2 linked regions of the Caenorhabditis elegans genome follow. The protein of the gene in region 2 purifies or fractionates together with the protein of the main gene of each other region. This does not show direct contact. Each region holds a gene or a part of one and is shown on either strand. Other genes may lie near its edges.

Region 1 (6,345 bases), on a different chromosome or scaffold from region 2:
CTTCTAAATTTTTCAATAAAAAGTTGCACGTTTTTTTGTTGCAAGACTGAAAAAACCCATTTTTAAGGAGTTAGAAAAATACTGTAAATTTTCTAACAGTTATATTCGGTATATTGAGACATTTTCTGTCATTTTGGGAAAAAGCCCCGCTGGCGCATTTTTTTCGGCAAAAATTGGATTTTTTTATGTTCCAATTTTTGTTCTAGTGAAAAAATCAATAGAACTCACTTTCTTCGATGGAGGCAAAATTGGTGGTTTTCCCTGCTTTGGTTGCCGTCGTCCCATTTGTCTCTTCTGTACTCCGAATACTTCGTCCATTTGTGACATGGCAGATGCCAAAAGACATCGTCCCGTTGAAGAAATTGATAAACGAGAACTGTTTATCAACATTCTGAAAATATTTTTAAATGAAAAATAATTGGGAAAACTTTAAAATCTCTATAAAAATATGTTTTAGTATGAAAACTAATAACTATAATTCAAAATTACAAAAAAACAACAGAATAAAACAAGCTCTTTAATTCGGAAAATTAACGGAAACTTAAAAACTGAATTTTTAAACAATTAATATCGAATTAAAAGGAGCAACAATCGAATCGCGATAGATACCGGAGCAAAAAAGAATCTTCAAATTAATGAACCGGAAAATGGGCAACAGGAAATGGGAAAACCAACGGAAAAAATTCTAGGAATGATTGGGAAATTCAATAGGGGCGCAAAAGTGAATAACACATCAACAATTAGGATTAAAACAGGAAAATAATAATTATAAAAGCGAAAAACTAGGCACTACATTCTCATGTAATAGCTCTCTCCATTTGGATTCTGGATCGGGGTGCTCACAGATTCGCCATTGGTTTTCTGGAAAAAACTCAACTATAATCTTAATAAGTTATCAAAAACTGTTACCTTTTTTTCAACATGCCATTCGTACCACACACCAGTATTGTCAACTTTTCGATCGATTTTCAGAGAAATTCTGTCACCTTCTCCAACTCTCAATTGATCTCTAAGTGGAATAACAGCTGGGAACCAACTGACCATTCCAGGTGTATGAGTTGATGGTTCAATTGAAAGCATCACGGTTTTGTAGAGTTGAAGATCAAAGTAGCCGGCGAATCCCATCAGCTGAAATAAATTAGGTTCTAACTTATTTGATTTTTAATTTAATAAACACATATTTTATCAATAAAATTTTTCAATTCATTGTTTTATTTTCAAAGGTGGACTGTCATTTGTGCGAATTTTGCATTTAATATAAGCAAATTACCTCAAATAATCAACGAAAAAATATTTTTAAATTTTCTTAAGAATTTCTAAGTTTTTTTTTTTTTTTTTGCTGAAAAACTTACATCTGCATTTCTATCCATAACAAATTCAATAGAATCGCTTCTCTCATTGCTTGAATTCATGAAATTTGGATGTTCAAATGTGAATACTGGTTTGGTGGTTTCGGCAAGTGGAATGTATTTTGAAAGATATACAACGTAGATTTGATCCATATTGTTACGAACATGTCCTTGTCTGAAAGAAAATGTTTATTAAAATTTAAAAAAAAAGTTTTTATGCTTTTTTTTTAATTAAAAATTATTCTAAAATAAGAGTAAATTGAAGCATAACTTGTGGAGCGGATACTCCCGTCAAGAAAAGATGGCCTAGAAACCTCCGTGTACTCGGCCAGGGCCTTTATGTACACAAGAGTAGAAAACTTCAGAAATATTTATTACCACAACATGAATTTTAGCGATACTTTTTCTAATATTACGGTACCCGGTATCTACACGATAAATATTCGTTAATACGAAACTTTTTGTACCTTTGAAGAGTACTGTAATTTCAATATCCCATGATTTTTCATAGTTTTTTAAATAAAAATCAATATCAATTTATCAAAACTAAACTAAAATAATAAAATGCCAACCAAAAAAAACTATAAAAAATTAATAAAAACTCTGCAGCAACAAGTCTTAGATTACAGTATAGTTTAAAGGTGCACACGTTTTCGCATATAACAAAGATTTTTGTTTGAATTTTTTTTTTAATTTTAAAAATTTTGTCTAATCGAGACCGGGACTAGCAAAATTTGGCATCGGGGTAATAAGGCAGAATGTTTATATTTTTATAAAAAAATTGAAAAACAAACGGGTATTTTTGAATCCACATTTCGTCTTCATCCAATTCCGGTTCACCTCTACCATGCGATGGAATTGCACGACTCAAATAAGGAATACTTTGAGCTTTAATTGTTTGATGAATATGAGTACTCATTATTGGCTTCACATAGCTAGTGTACTTCTGTGGAATTGAAATTGTTGTTGGCTTCAAAAATCCAGTGACACCATCTAGACATTCAGGACTCAACTCGTTATCTCCAAAACTTCCAAGAAGTTCCGAAACAATTATGTCAGGTTGTTCGAATCCACGATCTTTCGCAATTCCCGGCAGACTTCGCATATCACTTTCAATAATCGTTACTCGTCGTTTCCATGTTCTCACATTCATATATTTCAGAGTGACGATTGCATTTGGATTCTTTTCAACAATATAAAGCTTCACTTTGAGACTTTCTTGGCCTTGTCGGAATGTGTTGTTGTATTCTCTTTCAGATTTCAGAATTTTCGTTCCCTGAAAAAAATTGAAATTTATAATATTTAAAACTATGGAGACGCATAAAAATGCCCGTTTTGATATTCATTTAGACCGAAAAACTGTAAATTGAAAAATGTTGCAGTTCGCTTCAGACAATTGGCAAAATTAACTGCAAAATGTTTGAATTTCCGGCTTGTCGCCAACTTCCAAACGAGACCCATGGTCAGGGGGTGGAGTGTTTTCAATTGGCCACAAAATATGTTTTCATGTCGAATTAAAAGGGACTTTTTCTACTTAATAGCCAAAAACTCACAATAGGACCACGTCCTCCTCCCAACAAGTAAATGACAACAGTTTTTCTTCCGTCAGCTCCAAGATCTTTTAATGCTCCAACTACAGCTTCTCCATACACGTCGTATTTAATTTGATCCTGCTCGAATGTATTATAAACTCCTGAATCCAAATTTTCAGACAATGGTTGAAGAGGTGCTTGCAAAACATCTTTGTATTCGATAACATTAAGATAATGAGTGGAGTCATTCGATCCTTCTCCAACATCAGGACGACTTCGGTAATTAACATTTCGAACTGCATGACGAAGAGCTTGAGAATACTCGGATTTGATAGAAGTATTGTACTTGAATGTATCCGTTGTGGCACGAAGAACGATCCGAAGTGCATCAGTTGTCCATAGATGTTTTAATAAATTTATGTGGGCACTGAAAAATTAGTATTTATTTGAAAATGTAATCTTGAAATTTACCTTGGAATTGATGCTTCTCCATTTCTTCCAGAAATAAAAAGACCCGATTCGATAACAAAAGCTGCTAGGGGCTCGGCCTTCCAACGGTCCACAAGTTTAAGCTCAGTAAGCTCATCGGGAAGTTCCGAAGAGATCGTCAAAGCCACTTGGAAATAAACACCACTGAAATTACCACAATTCTTCCGGAAATCGGCCCAAATTGTCCATAAATCAACATGTTCTATTGTGAAAGCGTCATAATCTTTGCACTTTTCAATTGCAGACGGAAGTTGAACCCAAACACTGAAAATAAATATAAACTTTGCTTTTTTAAAAAATATTTTACTGAAAAAAAGGAGCTATTTCATATTGCATTTTACTTACGTAAAACGCGAATTTCTAGTCCAAATCCATTTTTTCAAAATGGCAGCAGTACGAGGCGACGAGATGCGTGTGAGCTCGATTGCCATCGTTTGAAGACCCAAATAACAAATGTAGCTGAGCTCTTTCAGAAGATGTTCCTCGGAAAGCGAGGCAAAGGCTGGATCAGAAGAGTCACAGTCGATCCATGGAGAAATCTTGAAAAAAATGACAATTTCAGGTTTTAATTTAAGAATAAAGGGCTTGTTCTTCGAAAAAGTAATTAAAATTAAAAAAAAAACCCCCCATACTTTTCCTACAACATAGCTTTCCCAGAGATCATTTCTCAGCTGAACATCGGGCAAATCAATAACAGGTGGATGATTCTCCGCGCTGAAAATTAGTAGTCTAGTTGAAGTTGGGTAAGATAGTCGATGTGAACCTTCCATTAGGCGTCCAGAATGCGCGAACGACCCCTCCAATCGGGTAGACGACAAAGTTATACTTGAACTCTCCCAGTCGTGTACAGAAAGTAGCAACATGACGGTCTAGATTCTCGGCAACGTCCAAGGTTGTGGCCATCCATCCGATGTGTATTCTAGAGTTCGCTGCCTCAACAGAGCTTATACTTCTGCTGGGAGAATTACTTTTGGGCGAAGAACCAGAAGACATCTGTTCCTCATGCTGCTCCGCGACCTGTTGTGGAAACAGATTATCGGCATACGTTCTGTTACTCATTCGTTTAACCTGAAATTTGACGATCAACAAACTCGCAGTTTTATCATCGGCTTTCTGTTTATTTCTGATAAAAATATACTAGAAGTCAAATGAACTTGGGGTGTGAAAAAAATAATGTTTTTGCTTTATTTTTGTTGCCTTTTAGGGCATTTGGGTTGGTAGTTGAATTCGAAGAAGGGAGAGTGAGAGATGGAAAACAACGTATTGGGAGTCACCAAATAGTGGTCTGACGGAAACAGCACTACCGCAACAATACAATAAACTATACATTAAATTTATCTCTACCAAAAAACATTGAAAAAAAGAAAAACGAAGTGTCGGCGTTATAACAAAAAAAATAAAACTAATTTCCGTGTTGCTTGGCGAGTTCTTCGGCCTTCTTGAACACATCATCGATTCCTCCTTGCATGTAGAAAGCAACTTCTGGAAGGTGGTCGAGTTCTCCTGAAAATTGATTTAATTTTAATGTTTTCAACGTTTAAATATTCTTACCCTTGAGAATCATGGTGAAACCGCGGATTGTCTCTTCGAGTGATACGAACTTTCCTTGATGTCCAGTGAACACCTCAGCGACTTGGAATGGTTGGGAAAGGAAACGTTGGATCTTGCGGGCACGTGAAACGGTAAGCTTGTCTTCCTCGGACAACTCATCCATACCAAGAATAGCAATAATATCTTGGAGGGACTTGTAATCTTGGAGGATCTTTTGAACTCCACGAGCAATGTCGTAGTGGTTCTGTCCGACAACGTTGGGGTCCATGATACGGGAGGTGGAGTCAAGTGGATCGACAGCTGGGTAGATAGCCAATTCGGCAATACCACGGGACAAGACAGTGGTGGCGTCCAAGTGAGCGAATGTGGTAGCTGGAGCTGGATCAGTCAAATCGTCAGCAGGTACGTAAATAGCCTGGACGGATGTGATGGATCCCTTCTTGGTGGTGGTAATTCTCTCTTGCATACTTCCCATGTCAGTGGCAAGGGTTGGTTGGTATCCGACAGCGGATGGGATACGTCCGAGAAGAGCGGACACTTCAGATCCAGCCTGGGTGAAACGGAAAATGTTGTCAATGAAAAGAAGCACATCTTGTCCTTCCTGGTCACGGAAGTACTCGGCGACAGTGAGACCGGTGAGGCACACACGAGCACGGGCACCTGGTGGCTCGTTCATTTGTCCGTATACGAGAGATACCTTGGAGTTCTTTCCCTATAAATTGTTTATTTAAATACCATGAACCATTTTTTCCTACTAACCTTGAGATCAATGACTCCTCCTTCAATCATTTCGTGGTAGAGATCGTTTCCTTCACGGGTACGCTCTCCGACTCCAGCGAACACAGAGTAACCTCCGTGAGCCTTGGCGACGTTGTTAATGAGCTCCATGATAAGCACAGTCTTTCCGACTCCAGCTCCTCCGAAAAGTCCAATCTTTCCTCCCTTGGCGTATGGGGCAAGAAGATCGACGACCTTGATTCCGGTAACAAGAATCTCCTGCTCGACGGACATTTCGACGAATTCTGGAGCTTCAGCGTGGATAGCAGCGAAGTTCTTGGATGCAATTGGACCTCTCTCGTCAATTGGCTCTCCAATGACGTTCATGATACGGCCAAGAGTTTCTGGTCCGACTGGGATCTTAATCGGATCTCCGGTGTCAGCAACTGGCTGTCCACGGACAAGTCCTTCAGTTCCGTCCATAGCAATACATCTGACGACATTGTCTCCGAGATGTTGAGAGACCTCAAGAATGAGTCTTGGGGAACGTCCGACTACCTCGAGACCGTTGAGGATTGGTGGAAGGTTCTCATCGAACTGGACGTCGACGACGGCTCCGATGACAGCGACAATGCGTCCGGAAGCGTTAGCAGCTGTAGCCTTGGCAGAGACCTTAAAACCAGAATTGAATTGAATTTATCTGACTA
Region 2 (5,560 bases):
AATTCATTTCAAAGATCGAGCCCGTAAAACGACACAAGCGCTACAGTAGTTATTTAAAGAATTACTGTAGTTTTTGCTACGAGATATTTTGCGCGTCAAATATGTTGTGCAATACGCATTCTCAGAATTTTGTGTTCCCGTAATATGACAATCGTGAATGATCAAATATCTGAAATTTCATCCAGTCACGAGTTGCAAGCTGATTTCGTGTTTCATCTGAAAACCAAAAAAAAAAGAAGCGGGCGGTCTCTTCGTTTGTGTTTTACAATGTTTTTGTTGTGCAACAATTTTTGTCGTCTTCTCGTCGTCTCCATTATTTTATTCTATCAATCCGTGACTCATCCACACCGCTTTTTCTTCTTTCTATCGTCACCCAACAGTTTCTTTTTCACCGCTCAAACACATACACACACCTCACCACCTCCTCATTATTCCAGCATCATTTTCAGTCTTATTTCGCTTCTATTCAATTATGGCTTCAAAATTGAAAAGTAGGATTTTTATAATTGTAAATTTTCTGCAAGTCCCATGTTCCAGACCACCACAGAGCTCAAATAGAGCAGAACCTTGTTGCAGAAAAGTCTTCAGAACCTGAACAATCATCTGATCCACGATCATCTTCGGGTAAAGAGGATGGCGATGATTTTCCAACAACGCCAAATGTTAGTTTTGTATGCCTAAATATTCTGGAATAGTTCAATTCAGATTGCCGCGAAAATTGCACAACGCCGTCTACCGCGTCGAACTCCGACTTCTCATGTGAAAGGGGTCACTGCAGAGCTGATGAGACGACGTTTGAGCAAGACAAGTGAGGAGGAGCCGGGAGGAAATAATAATGTAAGATCTAAAGTAGTTGCAATGAATTCAATTTTTAAATCAAGATAACGAGCCGGTTCACATTCAAAACCAGCATTGACGAGTCGAAAGAAGAACCAAGTGGAAACATTGCTGGAAGACTTCCACCAAAGACTCCATACAAAAGTTCTATCGCTGGAAAATCACCAATTAACACTTCTAAACCATTGTAAATATCATTTCGTTTCATTTTTCAATGCCCTGAAATTTTTCGTATCACACAAATATTTGTTCAATGAATAATTTCCGGTTTCCCATAGATCAATTAAAAGCAAATTCATTTGTCGGAAATGATATTTTTTATTTATTTTTTCAGATTGAAAACTTCACATTAAAAGTTTTAGAAACAAAGAAGCTGGATGGAAGAGATCTTAAGGGCTTTCTTAATTAAGTTATTTTAATGAAACTAATTAAAATTAGTTATTACTCCCTCGGGTAAAATTTAAACTGTAGGAATTTCAGCTCTTGCAGGGAATCTGGTCATACATCCGTCCCGGTAGGCATCGATGCTCGGACGAATTTCGATTCCTTTCCACGTTGAGATGGTTTGTGTCAGGTCGGCTGCAGTTCCATGGGTTCCAAGAATCGCACGATAACCGTCGTTTCCAGTGGCAAAGATTCTGACAAGAGTTTGAGCTCCCATGCAAACTGTATCCATTTGAGGAAGCGTCAAGTCGAATCCAATGCGATAGTTGGCTGATACTGGATCAATCAGACACGGTGATTTTGGAAGAAAGATACCAGCAGCAATGATTTCAAAGAATCGCCGGAAAGCAGTCCCCAAACAGGCTTTCTGGCGATTTGGTCCGTTTGCAAGGCAATAGAATGCAAGGTACTGGATTGTCCAAATAGAAAGAGGCTGGAAGTCGCTGTATCTTGAACGGGTATCCTTTAAAACTCGAACAAGTGCTTGCCATTCTTGAATGAAAGCTGGTGGCAACTCGCTGGAAATTTGGGAGAACCAGGTGATGTGGCGAGTGGAGAAGAAGTTGATCATCATTTGCTTGCTGTCCACTGAAAAATGTTGACTAAAATATTATTTATTCAATAAATTCTTACAATGTAACAGCGGTTCCAATTTCGTTGATTCTTCAGGAATAATCGTGATTAGAAGTCTGACCTGACAGTTATGAGAAGTGATTAAACATCCATATTCCATTTGTAATGGTTCTCCTGTTTCTTTTGGATCGGCAATTTTCATGTTTTCGACTACTTTTCTACCGAGCTCCGCTACTGTTTCATCTGAAAAATTGTTATTTTTCTGTAATATGTTAATTATTAACACTTACATGATGGTAATGTACTCAGCTGAACAACTACATCACTTTTGTCACTGGAATGAGTTGTCGTATCCGTGACAAACGATCCAACATGACTGATAGTCGCTATTCCAATATCAACGAGCGTCTTTTCTCTTTTTTCTTTTTCCAAAGCGACTATAACCTTTTTCGCGTACTCATTGATTCTTTTCCGAATTTCGACGGATGGAGTAAGATTTGCAGCGCGATCCAGTATTTCCTACAAATATAACATACAGCATTAAAAATTTTTTTATGGAATATCAGCTAACCTTCTCAAAAACCGCATCAGATGTATTCTTTGTGCCTTCTAAATTGCCTTTGTCAAGCGTATAGTCGTATATTGTTCGGAATTGTGGAATTGGAACTCCAAACTGTGGAAAATTGCCACCGGGAACCATATTTGGTGTCCTAAATCCACGAGACCCAGCGCTGCGTCGGAACGCGGAACGTTTATAATTCATTTGAAAGCTGAAACATTAAACTGATAATTTTAGAAATAAAAAGTGAAAAAAGTGTTTAAAATTGCAATATATTTTACTCGAAATGTACAAAATGTTGTTATTTGTCAAATTAAAAAATGCAAACAGCATGAAAATATTCTTGCAACTACGGTGTGCAATTGCGGACTTGACATTGCGGACTTTTGCTTACCGTGTTTTATCGAAAAAATGCATGCCAATTTTAATTTTCTAATTCTCGAATTTCAATCAATTCGTTCGTTTTAACTAAAATTATACTATTTTTTCGGGCAATTTTTTTTCAAAATTCACAATTCAATCAAGTACTCTCACAGATCTCAAAAATGTCCGATTGGATTTGGCCGCTGGAGGCGCTAAAGGCAAGGACACCAAATTCTGTTGTCGTTTTTTAAATTTTTCACTGTTTTTTAGACAACACCGTCCATCAGAGCTGGTTTAACTAAAGAACAAGAGCTTCTCTGGCGCCGTGAAGGTATCAAGCTGTTATCGGAAGTCGGAAATGCCCTCAACTGGTAAATATAATTTTCGAAAAAGTCGAAATTTCAAAATTCAATTTTGCAGTAAACCGCGCCCCACTATCGGTGTTGCAGCTGTATATTTTCATCGGTTTTATATGATTCACAGTTTCCAGTCATTCAGTCGAGAGGTTTTTATAAGTTTACCAGGCACAATTAAAATTACTTTTTTCAGGTAACTGCACTAAGCTGTTTGTTTTTGGCTGGAAAAGTCGAAGATTTCCCGAAAAAATGCAAAGATGTTTGTCAAGCGGCTGTGACTCATTATCCAGAAATTTATTCAAAGTACCAGAACCTTGTGGTCAGTAAAGTGATTCATAAACTTGATAAATTGAATATTTCAGGACGATGTAATGGGGCTGGAAAGAGTACTGTTGCACAGTCTTAAATTTGACTTGCATGTTGCTTTGCCGTACGATGCTTTGCTGGATTATAAGATGATGTTTCCAGATATGAATCGTGAGAAGGTTAGTAAAAAAAATTATTTTTCAACAATCATTACGTGTTCCGATTTTAGAAATTTTTTCGATTACAAAATTAAACACATTTTCAGATTACCGACGCCGTTCAAATAGCTTGGACATTCATCAACGACAGCATCTACACCACATTGTGCATTACCACGGAGCCACAAATGATTGCAATAGCACTTTTACATCTTGCGTTCACTGTAAAAGGATATCAGCCTGTTCAGAAGAATATGGATCCATGTTGGTGGTCAGCGGATGTTAGTAATTGGCCTCAAGAATCAGTTGACAAGGCATGTCATCTGGTGCTAGATTTCTACGCTGCTACTAAAGAAAAACCGGTTCTGGAGAAAAAGAAGCTCACAACTTTTTAGTTTTCAAAAATCTAATATTTCTATATTTTCTTGCTTCTTCTGTTCCAGATTATTTTTGTACAGAACACCTAATCTTGGATTGTGTTGATCTCTTTTACCAAATAAATCTGAACACTTATTTGGTATTTGTTTACAAATCCCCTGGGCACCAATTCACAATCAATTCGTTCCGTACAACGTCGTCGAAACCAATCCTTCTCGAATTTCGGTGCGCCGTGTTCCCACGCGAAGAGGGAAGAAGAGAGAGGTTCGGGGGATGGATTACTGACGACGTGATGACGGAGAGATGACTATAATAACACAAAAAAGAATCAGCAGTCTTTATGTCTTTTCTTTTTATTCTTCTTTTTGTTCCCCTTTACTTTTACTTCTTCTTCTTCTGTTTGCATTAACACGTCACCTGAATAATTGTGAAGAGAAGTTTCAGAAGCCGTTTAAGATAGAAGAAGACAACTCCGTGTCGGACGTACGCGCATCAGATAAATGTGCACCATTTTCGACGGCCAAAAAAGTGCATCTGAAGAGAGAAAAAGTGGGCGGGACGGCGGAAGAAGACGCTAATCGCGCACGAGTCACAGAATATGTATACATACATTTTCAGATTATATGATTTTTTTCTCCTTTTGTATAGTATATTTAACATATAACTAAAAAATGACAAAAAAAATCAGCAAAACTGTTAAGCGTCCTTTCTTTTCGCAACTCTGGCGCGAAGTTTTTGCAAGAGTGCCGCACGGTTGTTTAAACGGATTTCCTATTAAATTTCTGATAATTTAAATTTTAGAATTATAAAACACTGTTGATTTCAAATCGAAACACATTTTAAAAAATCTGTAGAAATTGAAGGAACTGACAAAATAATCTGAAAATTGTGAGGATAATCAGCGGCACACTTTTAACAAAATCAAGTACAAAAATCGTCTAGAATGAGCAAAGTTTTATTTTTGGACCGATTTTACGTATTTAGTGAAAGTAGTGATTGTCAGAAATTCGAAAACGCCACGCGATTTTTCAATTTACGTCCAAAACTGTGACCAATCAGCTCCTCTCTCCGCCCACTTTTGGACCAATCAGATTGAGTGGGCGGAGTTCAAAAGTGCTTATTGGCTTGAAAGTGGGTGTGGTTTCTAATTTTGGAGGAAGTTCAAACGGAATTTAGGCAAAATTGAAAAATTCGAGTTTTTAAGTTTTTAAAAAATTTTCAAAAGGAAATTTCATTTTCTTTTTCTTTTGTGGTATTTTGAATTTCAAATAATCTCGGCTACTTTAAATAATTTTTTTTCACTGCTGCCGAGTTCTAAAAAAGGATTTTCACAGGATTCCGACGATTTGTAGGCTATAAAATGGTAGGCAAATATTCTGGAAGCTTTTTGAACAGTCTCAATGTTCTGTAACAAATTGGAAACAAAAGTATTACAGATCTCCTTATTCGAATTCAACGTACCCATGTGCAGCTGAGTTTTCTGTAGGATCATACAAGCTAACTGTAAAAAATTTTCACAAAAATCTGACTACGTAATACCAAATCTCCAATCGTCTCATATTACAGTTCCCTCTGTTCCATCATAA

The links. Proteins that work in one complex are often made in the same cells at the same time.
Region 1: the proteins of R11H6.5 (region 2) and prmt-5 fractionate together in Caenorhabditis elegans (co-fractionation; one large-scale study listed by BioGRID). This does not show direct contact.

Annotation. Positions count from the first base shown.
Region 1 is NC_003281.10:5,228,663-5,235,007, reverse strand, and holds prmt-5 (Protein arginine N-methyltransferase 5), read right to left. Parts: upstream 4,454-6,345; 5' UTR 4,430-4,453; coding exon 4,134-4,429; intron 4,085-4,133; coding exon 4,003-4,084; intron 3,910-4,002; coding exon 3,716-3,909; intron 3,635-3,715; coding exon 3,353-3,634; intron 3,309-3,352; coding exon 2,903-3,308; intron 2,626-2,902; coding exon 2,144-2,625; intron 1,525-2,143; coding exon 1,353-1,524; intron 1,129-1,352; coding exon 910-1,128; intron 862-909; coding exon 790-861; 3' UTR 501-789; downstream 1-500. Other genes in the region: mrps-26 (Small ribosomal subunit protein mS26), read right to left, coding at 229-390; atp-2 (ATP synthase subunit beta, mitochondrial), read right to left, coding at 4,773-4,873, 4,922-5,633, 5,681-6,310. UniProt on the Caenorhabditis elegans protein: Catalyzes the symmetrical dimethylation of arginine residues in targets such as small nuclear ribonucleoproteins, histone H2A/H4 and cbp-1.
Region 2 is NC_003283.11:14,609,599-14,615,158, forward strand, and holds R11H6.5 (DZF domain-containing protein), read right to left. Parts: upstream 2,625-5,560; 5' UTR 2,618-2,624; coding exon 2,426-2,617; intron 2,374-2,425; coding exon 2,145-2,373; intron 2,098-2,144; coding exon 1,915-2,097; intron 1,870-1,914; coding exon 1,298-1,869; 3' UTR 1,136-1,297; downstream 1-1,135. Other genes in the region: R11H6.4 (Shugoshin_C domain-containing protein), read left to right, coding at 473-491, 538-662, 706-837, 882-1,028; ccnk-1 (Cyclin-like domain-containing protein), read left to right, coding at 2,959-2,994, 3,047-3,147, 3,197-3,281, 3,326-3,451, 3,495-3,617, 3,704-3,991.